2 linked regions of the Oreochromis niloticus genome follow. The protein of the gene in region 2 purifies or fractionates together with the protein of the main gene of each other region. This does not show direct contact. Links are inferred from orthologs where the notes say so. Each region holds a gene or a part of one and is shown on either strand. Other genes may lie near its edges. The genes, in order: fip1l1b and cpsf1.

Region 1 (7,425 bases), on a different chromosome or scaffold from region 2:
TAGCCTAATCTAAAGTTGCTGCACTGTGAGGTTTGCTTTCAGGTTCTTTTTGAATTATTTATTTGTTAAATTCTAAACAGTTTTCCTGCTCCTGCTACTGAGAAGCACCCCACAGAGCACGATGCTGACACCACCACGCTACATCACAAGGAAGGTACAAGCAAGGTGATGAGCCATCTCCGAATCAGAAACCTCACCCAGCAGCTTTTATTTAAACCAGCCACAAACTATAAAAATATGTACAGCACCACAATTTGCCTCAAACGTACGTGTACTGTGGCGCTCCGGTTTTTATGTCTCCAATCGTGACACGGACATCATCGTCGTCATCGTCACTGTCGCTGTCGCTCTCCACATCCTCGCCTGCAGCCTCACCTGTGGCCTGAAAATCCAGAAACAAAAACAACACAAGAAACATTCAGTGAGTTGAATCTAGGTTCGTAATAAAAACAAACAAAAATTATTGAAACTGTGCATGTAAGCTACACACCTCAGAGGCAACTCCATTTCCTGTAGCGTGCGCAGCAGCATCATCTGTTGAAGCATCAGCAGGGGCACTACAGATATGAAAACATTAGACACAACAGACCAAATATAAAATTTCTTCTCAGTCCAAAGTTTCTGGGTCCAAAATCTCACAAAGTTTTTTCACCTTGGTGGAGATCTGGTGACTGTGAAGGCCACAACATCTGATTTACATCATTTTCATACTCTTTAAACTATTCAGTCATCAGAGCACTGACATCCTAACAGAGGCCATTCTAATAAGGAAGGAAAATTTAATCAAAGGATAAAGGGGATCTTTTAGAAACACTATATTTACTTGCAGTGACCCTTATCTTAAAGAGAACAAGTATTAAAAAAACAAAACATGCCACCAAAATGTCACTTAAAACATAAAGCTGCCACAGCATGACCTCACTGTAGAGGTCAAGGTGTTACATTTTTCCTTTAATCTATCTGTATGTAAAACACTAGGAGAAAATTATGTTTCAAAAGACTATTAGTTTGTTTTTAAGTCTCCTTTAGTAACTTTTAATTAAACTAGATATTTACACGTACTCATGTGACCTGCTGACTTTTTTTGTTTTGGTTTTTTTTTTAAATATGTTTAACCACTTTTGTTATTCAAATTTAAGCACATAATGTAACTGTAAGATGTCTGTATGTTAGGTGGAGCCCAGGTGATGATATATTAGTAAGCCAAAATTATTTTTGGTCTGTCACAGATATGTTAGATGAATCTGTCTAAGGCTGGGGATAATTTAATAACGGTGTCATTATAAAGCATTCACTATGAGCCAGAGGTACCTTTACTAAACAAGATTAGATTATATTACACTAATTTTATTCTTTGTGCTGCTGCTGTAACAGAGTTTCCCCCGTAGGATCAATGAATCTATGACAGCAGCAATAGTGTCATCAGCATCTGCAGCACATGTGGATGAGTATAAATGAAGAGATGAGGTGTACAGTTAACGACTGACAAACAACATCCTCATAATTTTCTCTTTTCAATAATATTCTAACATACTAGATGTAAAGCAATCTAATCAGTCAATCACATAGCAGTAAATGCATCTCGCATGTGATTTTAGTTTGGATGGATCAGCATGACATGGCTGATTTCAGAAATCCACTGGGATTTTCCCATACAACCATTTCTAGGGTTTACAGAGAATGGGCTTGGGAAAATAAGGAAAGAAAAACTATCCAGTTCTCTCAGTGCCAAAGGTCAAAGGTAAATGGTCGGGTTGATTCAAGCTGAGGACGGCAGCAGTAGATCATATAACCAAATAACCAACCAAAGAATTGATTTCTGCTGCAACATTCAGATGGTACGCACGAATATCATGACAGCATTGACAAATCCTGCCTTGTAGCTGCCGCTTAGCGTTGTTAGTGATGTAATGGAGTGGGAGATATTTTCAGTTTGGCTCCCATAACACCAACTGAGCATTATTTAAACACCATATCCTACCTGAATATTGGTAGGTTCTCAGGTAGGATACAGCCTACCTATATCTCATCAGATTCTCATGGATGTACAGCGATTCATCAGTAGCAACTGTGTGATGTCATGACGTCAACATGGACCAAAATCTCAGATGAATGCATCCATCACTTTGCTGAATCTATGCCACAAAGGATTAAAGCAGTTCTGACAGCAAAAGGCGGCCCAACCCAGTTACTTGCAAGGTGCAGCTAATAAAGTGACCTCTGCGTGTGTATTAATAGTGCCTTTTATCCGTTCCCAGGGATACAGCATCAGCTGAAATCCACCTCAATAAATCTAAAAATTATTAGAAATTGAAATACTTCTAGAGTTCGTGAGAAGATTTTCTGATAGCTGTACTGAACTATATTACCTTTGCTAGTTACTCTGCCAACGCTCGTTGACCCTGAAATGTGGTACACACAGAGGGTTTTTTGTTTTTTTAAATCCAGGCTAGGACTGAATTATAGTTACCTGACAGCAGCGTTCAGCTTGGCTTCTTCATCCTCGTCTTTGCTCTCTGACTCATCTGGAACAGAAATTAAAAGCAACTGAGTTCATTTATCGTTATCTAATATATATTTAACTGAAGTTGTTGTTTTTTTTAACTAACAAGGTGAGCTGCAGAAAATACATACGCCACTTCATAGTCCAGTTAAACGTTATAACAAGCCAGAGTAATACTCAAATGATTTGACTCGAGCGGTGCAGCCACAACAGGCCGACCAAAATCCCGCTGCTAGCTTAGCTTCCAGGCTAACGCTCGTGATTAACGGGATAGCGCACAGTGATATCTGTTGTTAGCAGTTAATTAGGAACATAGCGAGAGACATCGTGTTCCACGTCTCTGTCTGTTCGAAGGAACCGTTTCTGTGGACGTCAGGTGGTTGTTTTTACCTCCATACAGCCATTCCTCCTCCTCGTCTCCGGCGCTGGCATCAGTGGTGGCTGTTTTGTCCGCTTCCTCCGCAGACATGTTAAACTTACACGGAGAGCTAAACCAGCAGCGGCTTCAACAACTACAAGCTTCAATAAAGCTCACAGGTGCAAAAATAACAGTAAAACTTCTCCCTTTATCGTGGAAACGTGGTTATGTACATAAATTATGTCTTCATAGGTTCATTTCCAACCTTTGCGAGTCGGAGTGAACCCGGAAGAGATTGGTGGCATCCCGCTAATGTCAAGGGTGATGGGAGAAAACACAGCGCCCCCAGCGGGCAAACTAACGGCTCCTTTTTTATGTCGCGTTTTTTTTTTAACACGACAGTGAAAGAATTAAATAAAACGTTATTTTGTGCTGTGACAATTAGTTAGATTGTTTTTTCAAAGTAACCACCCAAATACATGCCCGAAAGTGCTTCTTCACTCTCTTTTCCAGCTCTGCTTTTCTTCTAGGAGAAAGTGAAACTTTGCTACAAACTTTATTACTCAGTACAACCTGAAGGGCATTTAAAGCTCTTCTGCTGCCTTTTTGTTCTGTTATCTGTGAAGATGATCCCACACTGCTTTAATGATGTTGAGGTTTGGGTTCTGGGGAGGCCAATCCATGACTGATGGTGATCCTTCTGTGTTTTTGAATCCAGGTATACTGTTAGTGCATTGGCACTGTACTTGGGATCATCGTTATTATGAGAAATGAAGCCGATGCCAGTCAGACAGACAGAGCCTCCATCATGTTTTATGGTTGGCCCTAGAGACTCACTGTTGTACCTCTCTCCTGACCTCCTCTGTACATAGTGACAATTCGAATCAAAATTTTCAAATCTGGATTCATCACTCCAAGATCTGTTGGCACTCATTTTCAGACCAGCCCTCATGTAATCTGGCATACCTTGGCCTTTTGTCCCTGTTTCTCTTCCCTTCCTTCACTAAGAAAGGCTTCTTGCTATCCGCCCTTCCACTGAGAACATTTCTGAAGAGGCCAGATGCAACCCTCAGCTCCTGGGTCAGGTCTTTGTGGGATTTTCTTCTATTTCTTAAGGACATGGCATTCAGATACTGTTTATCTGCTGTAGAGAGTTTTTTAGGCCTTCCACTTATTATTTTTTTACTGTTCTATTCCAGTTTCCTCAAATGGTTTTAATGGATACCCTGCACATATCCATTATCCATATCCGTATGTCAAGTTTTTCGCTCTGGAGTCTAGACTCTCGTGGTGGTGAAGATAAGATGGAGGCTTGGATGAGTGGTTTGCATGAGGTGGAGTTGGGGAGGAGGTGGGTTGCATGAAGGAATCTGCAAGGAAGAATGAAAGATGGCCAGTGCGATGTAAAGTACGTAGAGTGGAAGCTGATTGGCAGAAAGATGACTGGACTAGAGCAATTATGTCAGCACTGAGTTTTGCAGCGTGGGAAAATGGAAGTGATGTAAAGAACAGACTGACAGCCAAACCCTGGTAGGAAATTTTCTCATATTCCTATCTCCACATGCATTGGGAAAAATGATGCCCCTCAGGGCCTCAGCACATGCGAAGCATAGCAGGGCAGGATAAGCACATGTCCAGATGATTAAAAAAAAACACTGTGTACTCCATTTAGCTGAGTGAGTTTCAAGCTCCTTGTCCTGCACGAAGGCTCAGTGTCACGTCTTACCATGGTGCTTTCATCGTTCATTAAATTAGCTCCCCCTGCACTTATGCTGTAAATGATCAAAGTGCCTGATCTGTTTAAGAAAGTTGTGTCTGAGTCTGAAGGCAGTACAGCCAGTGGCCTGGGGCACACACTGTACCTCATGTAAAAGGCCATGTAGACGCTTCAGCCTTCTATTTGTTTGCATTTCCGCCTGGTAAATTGACATAAATAAATCTACTTTTGTTTTTAGTATATCATGGGATGCCACACTTAAGATAGTCTAATGTGTTTTCAGCTGAACTATTTAGTCCTTCGAAATGTTTTGATGGTTCTCATAATCTGTCTATTCTGGACAGTAAGCATTTCCCTGCCTCTAGTTGGCTTTGATAGAAATGAAACTTCACTGGACAAGGTAATCATAAAAAACCAAAACACAAAGAAGTTGTGAGGGCAGAATTGCAGGTTTTCCAAGGACAATGCAAGTTTTACAGCTAAGCCATCTCTGGAAAAGCAGTAGAAGCAACTAAGTACATTTCCTTATGCAGGCTACTTCAATAAAGCACAATTTTAAGGTTGTTATTTCCTAGTTTTTGACTATTTTATCTGTATTCTTTATTTTTTTGGGTTATAGCAAGTAAGTTGTTACTAATGCAAATTATAAGCAATAAATAAATGATGTTAAACAATGTTATGTGTAAGCCAGAGGTTGTGAAAACAAAAGAGCTCTTCACCAAAGCCAATGTACTATATTGTAATTTTAAGAAAAGTAATCCAGATTCACAACAAAATTTATTGAGGTATTTCTCTGGTCGCTATCCACTTCTCCACCAGGTTTCATGAAGTTCAGCTCGATGGTTTTCGTGTAATCTTGCCGACAAACAAACGAATGCCACTAGAGACATACCTCCGCATCAGCTCCTGCCTTAGAAAAGGAATAAAGACTTAAACTTTGCCTCTCTCAAAGAGCTTTTATAAGTTTATAACCTCAAGAAGCAGCTGCAGACTCATCAGCAGCGAAATGACTTCTCATGATTGCTGTTGTGGTTGTTTGCACAAGAAGTTGCCTGCTAATGCAAAGAAAACTCTTAATGCATTTATGGCCTCTGACCAGTTAAGTGGAGCCACTTTAGCTTTGTCAGTAAAGGACAAGGAAATCTGTGGATTCTCTCACTCTCCCTCAGTTTTTACAGTGGAAATTACACAGAGGCGTGGCCTGAGTTCTGACGCTCACTGGTTTATCTGAGGCTGAAATGAAATTAATTTTTATGTAGTGCGTGCTCTCTCTCACAGGGAGAGTGAAAAATGGGATGGTAACACTATAGTTGTGATTATATTGATTTTTTTCCCCCCCATACCGTATGTGAGAACCACACAGGGGTTCATATCACGGGAATCTACTGTATCACATCATATGTGTGAGCTTTTGTGCGGCTCCCCCAAGTTTACGGTGTATTCACACACACACCACACAAACACACACACACACACGTACAGGGACTAATGGTCTCAAACTTAAACTGATCATGGAAATTGCATTTATTTCATTCACTCTCTCTCCCTCTCACGCGTCTCTCTTCCAGTCTGTTACTCCTCTGTGTTTTCTGATCACATTCCCTCCCTTTGTTTTCTTTATACCCCCACCTGCTTTTCATGCTCTTTTCTCCCTTTTCTCTTTTCCTTTCCATGTACTCAAGAGCTATTTAAAGTCAAATTTACTTAACTGAGATGATCGTAATTGGATAAAGTCTTGCAAAGCATCTTTTGAGACAAAAAGACAACAAAGCAGCATTTAAAGTAGAAAAGCACATCCTCCCCGAGGTTCAGTGCCAGAGTCCTGTTTCTTGAGAGAAACGACACAGATCTAAGAGTTCCTCTGTCATTCCCACCTGTCCATCCGTTCATTGAATTTTGCTTAGTAGTTTTTGTGTAATCTTGCTGATAGACAGTGTTAATCACTTACCACCAACTTAATTCTCACCTTGCCACTCTCAAGGTAAACCCTGCTTCAGCATTTACAGGTGCCATCAAAGACCTGGGCCTTTTTTTCTTACAGACTTACAAACTTATTTTGGTAACTGGGCATGGATCTCCGTGTTTTTCTGCTTAAGTAGCTGCCCCTGTGACCCGATAAACTTACAAACTGGACTTTATTATGCAGCCAGAGGAGGAGGAGTCAGCACTCAGGCACTTTGCATTTCATCTTTTATCCACAGTCTGTGCATACAACAACCATGCACAGAGATCTGCAGAATATAATGAGAATGAAAGGAAAAAAAACCACATTTGTCAAACAGAGCAGGAACGTGATTTAAAATAAAATGTGGTTGAACTCTTGGATGCAGTGGCAAAGGTCAAAACCACAGTGGAAGGAGATAAAAGCGGTTTGGAGGGAGTTCAGTTTGCTGTGTTGTTGCCTGTGTTTTTCCTGCGGGCAGTGATCTGCTTTGACACACTGTGCAGCTTCTCTTCGCCTGTTTTTCCCTGACGATTCCTCTGCCTTCTCTCTCCTCTCTCTCTCTGTCTTGTTCCTGTCTGCTTTTCATCCTCTTGCACCTTGTTTATCCTTATTTCCCTTTCTCCCCTTCACCCTATGTGCCACCCTGTCTCTCTCTGAGTTTCCTCCCTCCCTGCATCCATCCCTCTCTCCTTACGGTGGATTAGAGAGGCTTACAGCCTAGTCGATCCTAATCGGGTTTATCCAAGCAGAGGGCGATCGTTGGGCTATCAGTAATTACACACGCTGATATTAGCTTCCCCTGATATGCACCCTGGCACATTTTCAATCCACATCATCTCTTTGGATCAAACAAATGGTTATATCAACGGTATGATGCAATGACAGCTTAACGTGGCATTTTC
Region 2 (8,017 bases):
GACTACGTAACATAAGAGGCTGATGTCTCTGCCCTTATTTCTGGTTGCGTGCTGGTGCATTAACTGTTAATTATCATGTGGTCGTGTCCAGGTGTTTTATTTACAGTGCAGTCATGATAGAAATAAATACAAAGTCTTCGCTCTCTGTTGTGGTTAGTTTAGTTTTTTTCCAGAGGCAAAAATATTTGTCCTTAAAGTTTTTCCACTTCTTTGTACAATTTCTCTCCAGGAATCTGCTGATTGTGACTCCTTATATTGATGTTGTGATTTTTATGGTTATTTTTAACAGTTTGTTTTATCTTACTCATTTATGATTATTGACTCTTGTACAATGTTTGCTAACAGTTGTGAGAAAGTAGCTGAAACTGCAAAGAAGGGATGGACAGCCGTGAACAGCTAATCACAGTAACTGTGGGCTGTGTCCACCTGATGTGTGGTTAGTTGTAGTCATGTTACGTTGTAAGTAACTGCACTGTTGCTCATTGGTCCAACTGTCCTCTTCTCAGGTGAAAGTAAAATTTCCCTTTCATTTGGAAATCAAACTTCTAGAGTCAGGAGGAAGAGTGCAGAGGCACAGAATCCAAGGTGTGTCAAGCCCAGTGTGACATTTCCACAGTTGTGACAATTTGGGGTGCCATGTGACCTGCCAGTGTTCTTGGCTGTTGGTCCGCTGTGTTTTATCAAGTCCAGTGTCAACGTAACTGTCTACCCGCAGATTTTAATGCACTTCAACTTTCCACCTGCTGACAAGCTTTATGGAGATGCTGATCCTTTTCCAGTAGGACCCACCCACAGTGCCAAACCTTTGGCTGAGTAGTTTGCAGACAAAGTTACTGCCCTTAATTGGCAAGCTCAGCCAAACTGAATTTCATGGAGAATTTATGGATTTTATCAGTTGAGAAATACTAAAAATGGAGGCAAGCTGAAGGTCAATGTGAAAGCAGCCTGGGCTTTGATCACCTCTATGCTGCCCCGCACTTATGCAGGAATTTGTGATAAAGGCCATGCACTGAGTGTACAAATGGACATGCTTCTCAGAAGTTTCATTTCTGTCTTTTGATTGATCTTAGCAAATAATCTAATGATTTCAGATACTCGATTTATTGGAGTTATACGCCATAAAACAAAAAAGGCTTTAAATAATTCACTTCACTGTAATGAACATAGAATACATAAATGGTGACTTTTTTATTTAAATATTATTATGAAAAAAAGCTTTTTGAGAGGCACAAGAATACTGTTATAGTACTAGATGCATTGTATTTAGCAGTCAGTCTAGAATAATGAACTTAAGTACAAGCTATACCTGTGAATGAAAAGTTAAAAGGCTGATAAGGAAAGTTAGCTTAAAAGGAAGGTGCCCTTTTTTTAACTGAATCATGCAAAGCTACTCTAGTAGAGTAAAAAAAATCAAAACAACTGAGCTGGAACTGAGCGTAACAAATCAACTTTAATAATTAGATGTATAACTTACCCTTCTCCAACACCGCTCTCTTGTTCATCCGTTAGCGTGTCCTTTCGGAATGGCAGCACCACGAGTTTGGTGCCATAAACGAGCATTACAGCACAGCGATTCTCTGGATCTACACGCACAACGGGAATATGTACATTCTGTACAAAGCCATCCTGAAAATACAAGAACAGTTATATTCACAGTTGAGTCACTTTTACACATGAACATAAACTCAGGTTTATTTTTGTTGCTACATACTCTGAGCTCTGGCTCCTCAAAGTAATGAAGAGACAGTGTCTTGAGGTCATGTGTCCCAGGATCATACTCTACCACAGACAGCTGGTGAGAGACAAAACACAGGCAAGGGTCACTGAGAAACAATTCTAGGGGTTAAAAGCATGGTTTATTTAAGCAGCACACTGCTTGCTCTATAATACCTTTGCATCTTTGAAACTCAAAAGGAGTGCATCTCTGCTGGCTCCAACAAGTTGTACACTAGCCATAGACATGATGTTCCCAAAGAGAGAAAAGGAAGCCACCTGCTCCAGCTTCTCTTTACGAGATTTGGAATCTGCGCAAGAAAAGTCGAGACTCAGCAAAAAAAACCAAAAACATTTTTTACCAACAGTAGAATGTGTATTTGAATGAGATGCTTTCTTTGACATACCAGATGACTTGTCAGCCTTTGAAGTACTCTGAAATAGGACAAATGTGGCATATATCAAAAAGCCCTTTTATGCTTGTGTTTTAAAAAAAAAAGGCACAAAAAAACAGGTGAACCTTAGATTTAAAGTTACCTCCACATCATGAATGATCCTGTAAACAAACAGTTGAGATGTTCCAGCTACGACCAGGTTCTTCTCCTTACTGGATATAAAGTTGCAGTAGACAGAAAACTCCACTGAGGTCGGTGTGTGGGCTTGTCTGTACACGGCATACATGGTGGCAGGCTGCCCTCAGCATCTAACAGGTGAAAACACTCACGTCAAGACCTCTGACATCACCTCACCACTAAAACAATCGGTACACAGGTATGCGTGTATCTGCGTTAAACAAAAACTGCACAGACAATCCGAGCGCCGTTTTATAAATTACGTCAGTGTACACTTAAATAGGCTTCAAAACGATCAAATGCTAGCTAGCTTATGCCAGCGCTACATTTTGTCTGTGTGTATCAATTATTAGAATTTATTCTGATAACTGGTTTAACTTAACCAGCGATATCCACTCGTGTTGTTAGTCTCAGCTTCATTTTAGTTAGCTTCGAATAGCAAATGTATGGGAAAAGCCGGTTAAGTTAGCTGCCTTAGCAGCACGCTAACGTTCCCATTTGTAGCTGGCATGGCATAGTAACAGGCTACAATTTTTCAAATGTTTTCACAAGCAGTGAATGTAACGCGTGGACGTACCTATGTCCGTCACGTTATCTGAGTTTGCAGCTTTATTGTTTCCTCCCTTGTTCACAGTGAGCGTGACATATTTTGTGTGATACCAACTTAAGCTAGCTAACCGATAGCAAGGTTAGCTGTCGTTGTTGTGGCTGCGTTGGTCTTCTTCTTCGTGTTTTTTTTTTTTTTTAGCCAACCACTCCAAGGCACATTAGCGCCACCTATATTTAGCATTTTGATAGCAGCTGCTGTCTCAGAGTTATTTTGTGTGTGTACAGATATTTAAAAAAATGAAGTGAAAGGGGGGCAGAGCTTATCAGTCTGTGGCGCCAAGGCTTTGTAACAATGTCCCACTACAATTACATTTATTTAGCTGACTCTGTGGACTCTTTAAAAATAGCTAAAATCTTTTTTGTTTAATCAGGCTTTTTGTTGATTCTTTTACTGATTGTAATGTGTTCTGTATTTGATTTTTTTTTAATGAGATTTTAATGGCATTTAATTTTCCATATTTATCTTACTCAATTTTGTGTACAGCATTTGTGCACACTTGTCAGTGAAAGACAGCTTCGAAAACATTTCTTACTTATTAAGCCAGGTTTATCCCAGCAGAGTGCGCCAAGTGAGTCATTTGTTAAAATAGGTTTTGTGGATGAATGTGTAGATCCCACATGTGTTAGAGGTACATCACATAATGAGGATTTGTTGATATTGTGTGCTGAAACCTTAATGAGAAAATATATAAGGAAACAAAGGGAAATATATAAATAAATAAAAATAAATATTACCAAAAGTATTCGCTTGTCTACCTTTACAAACACATGAACTTGAGTGGTATCCCTTAATCCATAGAGTTTAATATGATCGGTCTGCCCACAATTTGCAGCTATAAGAGCTTCAAGTCTTCTGGGAAGGCTTTTCACGGGGTTTATAAGTTGCTGAGTTTAGGCTGAACTACTGTCATTTCCAATCGCTTCCACTTTGCTTTAATACCACTAACAGCTAACCGTGGAATATTTAGTAGTGAGAAAATATCAAGACTGGACTGGTTGCACAGGTGGCATCCTATGACGGTACCATGCTGGTATTCACTGAGCTCCTGAAATGGACCCATTCCTTCACAAATCAAAGCAGTGTGCATGTCTAGGTGCTTGATTTTATACACCTGTGGCCATGGAAGACCTAAATTCAATGATTTGAATTATACTGTAAACACTCATTTAAGCAACTTTTTTTTTTTTTTTATAAATATCGCCAGACTCCACCCAACTTTATCCTCAGCTGTGCTGTTACAGAACTGCTGTTACAGGTGTGCTACGACACCCATCTCCAAAATACATTTAGCATCTTTTTCATTCATGTTTCATGTAAAGTTATAAGATCAGCACATACTGGACAACATGTGTGCAGATACTACAGATGTGTTTGTTATAGGTCAACAGTGGTCTAAGATCTACAAATAGGGTAAAACGACCATCAAACGGTTTCTCATTTAAAGTTTTATTTTTCGTATAAATGAAGTGGAGCTCTCTTAAAACGAAATATTCTTCATTAAAAACAACAAACATGATGCTAAAAACAAAAGACTTTTGTAGTAACTGTAAGACAATCTAAATTAAACACAGCAAAAACCCAAGGCCCAAACTTTCCAGGACTTAATTAAAATCCAAGACTTGTGATCAGATAAGAAGGATAAGCAGAAGAGAATGGATGAATGGATGGACTTGTGATGAGAGCACTTGGAAAAATGAAGGCACTGTAATTAAAATCAGGCTGTCTGTGCTCACTTCATTAAACAAGGATCAGCAGAACTAGTGAGAAGACAATCAAGAACTATCACGTTGTGCAACACATACTGGAGCTCGCAGATCATTTTGGTTCAGAAAAACAACAATACACAGTCTGTGACGTGTGCAACAGCTGTGATGGATATAAGGCTTTAAATTTTTAAGACAGAACAGAGATCACGAGACTCAAAACAAGACAGAATTATCTTTAATTTGTGTTCAAGTGTTTTCAACTCACGCCCACCTGTACGTGAAGAGCAGTGGACTACACACCTCTACTTTTTTTGTTCTTATTTTAACCACACTTAAGTTTTATTCTTGCATAGCCAAAAGAAAGAAAAAAAAAACTTTAGGGAGAAACTCAAATAACTTAACCGAAACGTAAAACTAAATAGGGGTCATATTCTTGTACTATCAGATCTGGCTCATTCACAATAACCTCTTACTGATGGAAGCAGGCAGACAGGAGTGCATGTAGTACTGTCAGCAGGCTACTAATCAAAAAGTTGTCTTCCACTTATAGGAATACAATGACATTAACAGAGGAAAAGACAGGCTAATATTAACTGGAGTGTGGGAGTGATGCCAGTGAGTACCAAATTGACTATTACAAGTCAAATGTCATGCAATAAGTGCTGTCTATGTAAAGCCGCGGCACAATGAGCTGTAAATGTGCTGAAAGGGCATGTTTAAAGTTACTGAATGAAAACTGGCTTCTTGGGTTCAGTCGCTTGATTCTTTTTAATGACATTACAACGTAGTGAGGAAATCAAAGAGGGGAAACGATCAACAGAGAAGCACTTCATCGGTTTGATCACGGCTGATCAAATCATTACACCTTAGCCCTTTATAAACCAAAATCGCTTTTTTAAACTGAAGGCAGAAACATTAAAGCATCAGCAGTCTGCTCTCTCCAAATGTCATCGCCGGCGTCTAATCCATTCTCCTCAGCGGTGGATTCTCTGGCATGTGATGAGATATTCTGGAAAAGCTTGTGTGTCGTTGAAAATGACAAACATCGACGGCTTGGTAATGTTATCAGTCACGCTGTCGTATCTGAGGGGGATATCTCCCGTCTCCTTCAGCGGGGCCGTCTTCATCGAATGGCAACCTTTGGTGTAGTCTCCCGTTAGAACTTTGGACACAAAAATAAACTTGTATCCATCCGCGTTTGGGGGGGAATACTGATCCTGGACAGATAGAGCCGAGTTCACAGCAAAATAGACCCCCTGACCGTAGACGGTGGCTGCGTGGAAAAAAACAGAGCATCAGAAGATGTGACAAAACCCGATGTAAACAAGACAAAGAAAGCCAGCATGAAAAGCGTACCATTCTTTCCACAGAAGCTTCTGTTGAAGCCATGGACGCATATCTCCTTGACGCTGCTCTCGCTCGTGCCGTGGTACAGGATGCGCTCGATCTGCGGGTAGGTGGCACGCTGCAGTACGCTGGCCTTCTTCAGCTTGTACTGATTGTACAACAGCTTGTTCATGAGCTTCTCAACCTGCGAACAAAACAAAAATGATTGTAGTCATCACTAAAGCCACAGTCAGCTGCTGCAAAAAAGACAGAGCTCATCGTTTCACCTGTATGATTCGGATTTTGCTGTGATATTCCTGAATGGTCTCGTAGAATTGCTTCACCACGTTCTGGAATTCATCAGATTCCTCATCCACTTTGGTTGCTTCGGGGAAGTTTGATAGCACGGAGTAGTCATCTTCTGTTAAACAAATTATTTAGTAAGCATTATTTCAGTTTTTTAAATGACTCATATTATTTAATAAAATAAACAGGGAGCTGCAAAACTGATGCAAGTGGAAAAACTAACAAGAAGTGCAAACCTCCACCAAGGCAGCTCGCTCTCTTTGGCGGCATTTTACAGTTTATTTTGTATATATTTATTGTTTTCTTTGTTCTTTTTAAATTGTACCACAAATAAAAACAGTACAATTTTAAGCAGAGCTTTAAAGGTAAGGAGATTGTTGTTTAAATGTTTGAGCTTTCTTGACTTTGAAGATAAGGTCAGAGGTCCAAAGTAACGTGATATTTAGGTACCCACATATATCATTCCCTACGTGTCCATATGCTGTCAATATAAACAGCAGCAATAAGAACCATAGTTTTAAATAGCTCTATACAGCATTATTATCATTTTGACCTTCGGATTTATCTAGTGACAATGTTGAAAATACACACCACATTTATAAGAATAATAACTTATAAGTTTTAAGGCTTTTAGTCTATTTCTGACTAATAAATCATGAAGTTGACCTTAAAGACCTTGGTGGATATAAGCCTAATTTTAACAGATTGCTAACATGATCCCACTCTACACCCCCACAAAGTTTTATCAGAATTCATTCTTAAGTTTTCGAGCTATGTTGTTTACCTTGGTGGACGTAATAAGTAGTTAGAATTATATACATTTCCCTAAGTCTCCCCACTCAGCTGTTGACATGAAAATGTCTTTCTTTATTACACACTTTACTTTGTTTTATGCTTTAATAGTTTATTTCAGGCTTCAAGAATGGTGCATGCAGGTACACAATGATAATACCTCTGACTGTGTGCTAATCTGAAAACACACAGAGGAGCTAACTACAAATACACCTAATATTCCTCACAGACAACTTCAGGGGCTAAAAACCGAAGCCAACATTCCTCTAATGGCCAAAAATGAGTCTGGCTTCAAAAGCAGAGAAATCTCTAACACTCCTGTGTTAAAAAGCTCTATAGCTAATCCCTCCTTTTATAACAACTGTCCATTTGGATACTGTTAAAGCTTCAATTATTGGTGTGCTGACACAGGTCCCTGTGGTCAATAGCTGTTTGCTAGGCTTAACCTCAGCTAATTGGCGTCACTGAACCTGACCTCACACAATATTTGTGCTACGGCAACACCTTTAATTAAGTTATATGAAAAATCATATAGCCTGTTGTGTGATATAGCATAAGATAGCTGATGACATTTTTGACTTGTGTGCTAATCATTTTCTGGATTTTGTCTCTTTCACGGCCCCACATGAAGCATCATTCCACAGAAGGCTTAATAAATCTCACTTTACCTGGTACACTGTCACTTAAATCATCTAATTCGAGCAACTTCCTGCTGATCTGCGCTGATTTCCCCCGAAGCGATGTTGTGTTCTTGCATCTTCTCAAAAGTTGATTGTGTGCGGCTGATTGTCTAGCAAGACGTCAACCTTCTTCAGCTTCTTCCTAAAGGCATTCTCAATGAACACTGTGGCTTCGGGAGAATAAGGAGCAGTGACAGAGGAGATCGGGTCGTGCCGCAACCACTGCACAGTATTCAGGATTTCCCGCTCTGGTACAGAATTGGAGATTTTCTCCAGAAGCAGTTTAACATCATAAACAGCTCCCATCACAAA

What was found.
Region 1: the proteins of cpsf1 (region 2) and fip1l1b fractionate together in Homo sapiens (co-fractionation; 8 studies listed by BioGRID and IntAct, with this or other methods). This does not show direct contact. The link is inferred for Oreochromis niloticus from reciprocal best matches to the Homo sapiens genes CPSF1 and FIP1L1.

What each region holds. Positions count from the first base shown.
Region 1 is NC_031971.2:23,839,851-23,847,275, reverse strand, and holds the start of fip1l1b (pre-mRNA 3'-end-processing factor FIP1), read right to left. Parts: upstream 3,182-7,425; 5' UTR 2,973-3,181; coding exon 2,894-2,972; intron 2,526-2,893; coding exon 2,471-2,525; intron 558-2,470; coding exon 491-557; intron 383-490; coding exon 270-382; intron 1-269.
Region 2 is NC_031985.2:31,557,213-31,565,229, forward strand, and holds the start of cpsf1 (cleavage and polyadenylation specificity factor subunit 1), read right to left. Parts: upstream 3,029-8,017; 5' UTR 2,863-3,028; intron 2,417-2,862; 5' UTR 2,395-2,416; coding exon 2,251-2,394; intron 2,149-2,250; coding exon 2,121-2,148; intron 2,025-2,120; coding exon 1,891-2,024; intron 1,793-1,890; coding exon 1,712-1,792; intron 1,627-1,711; coding exon 1,475-1,626; intron 1-1,474. Other genes in the region: parp10 (poly [ADP-ribose] polymerase 10), read right to left, coding at 7,787-8,017. UniProt on the Homo sapiens protein: Component of the cleavage and polyadenylation specificity factor (CPSF) complex that plays a key role in pre-mRNA 3'-end formation, recognizing the AAUAAA signal sequence and interacting with poly(A) polymerase and other factors to bring about cleavage and poly(A) addition.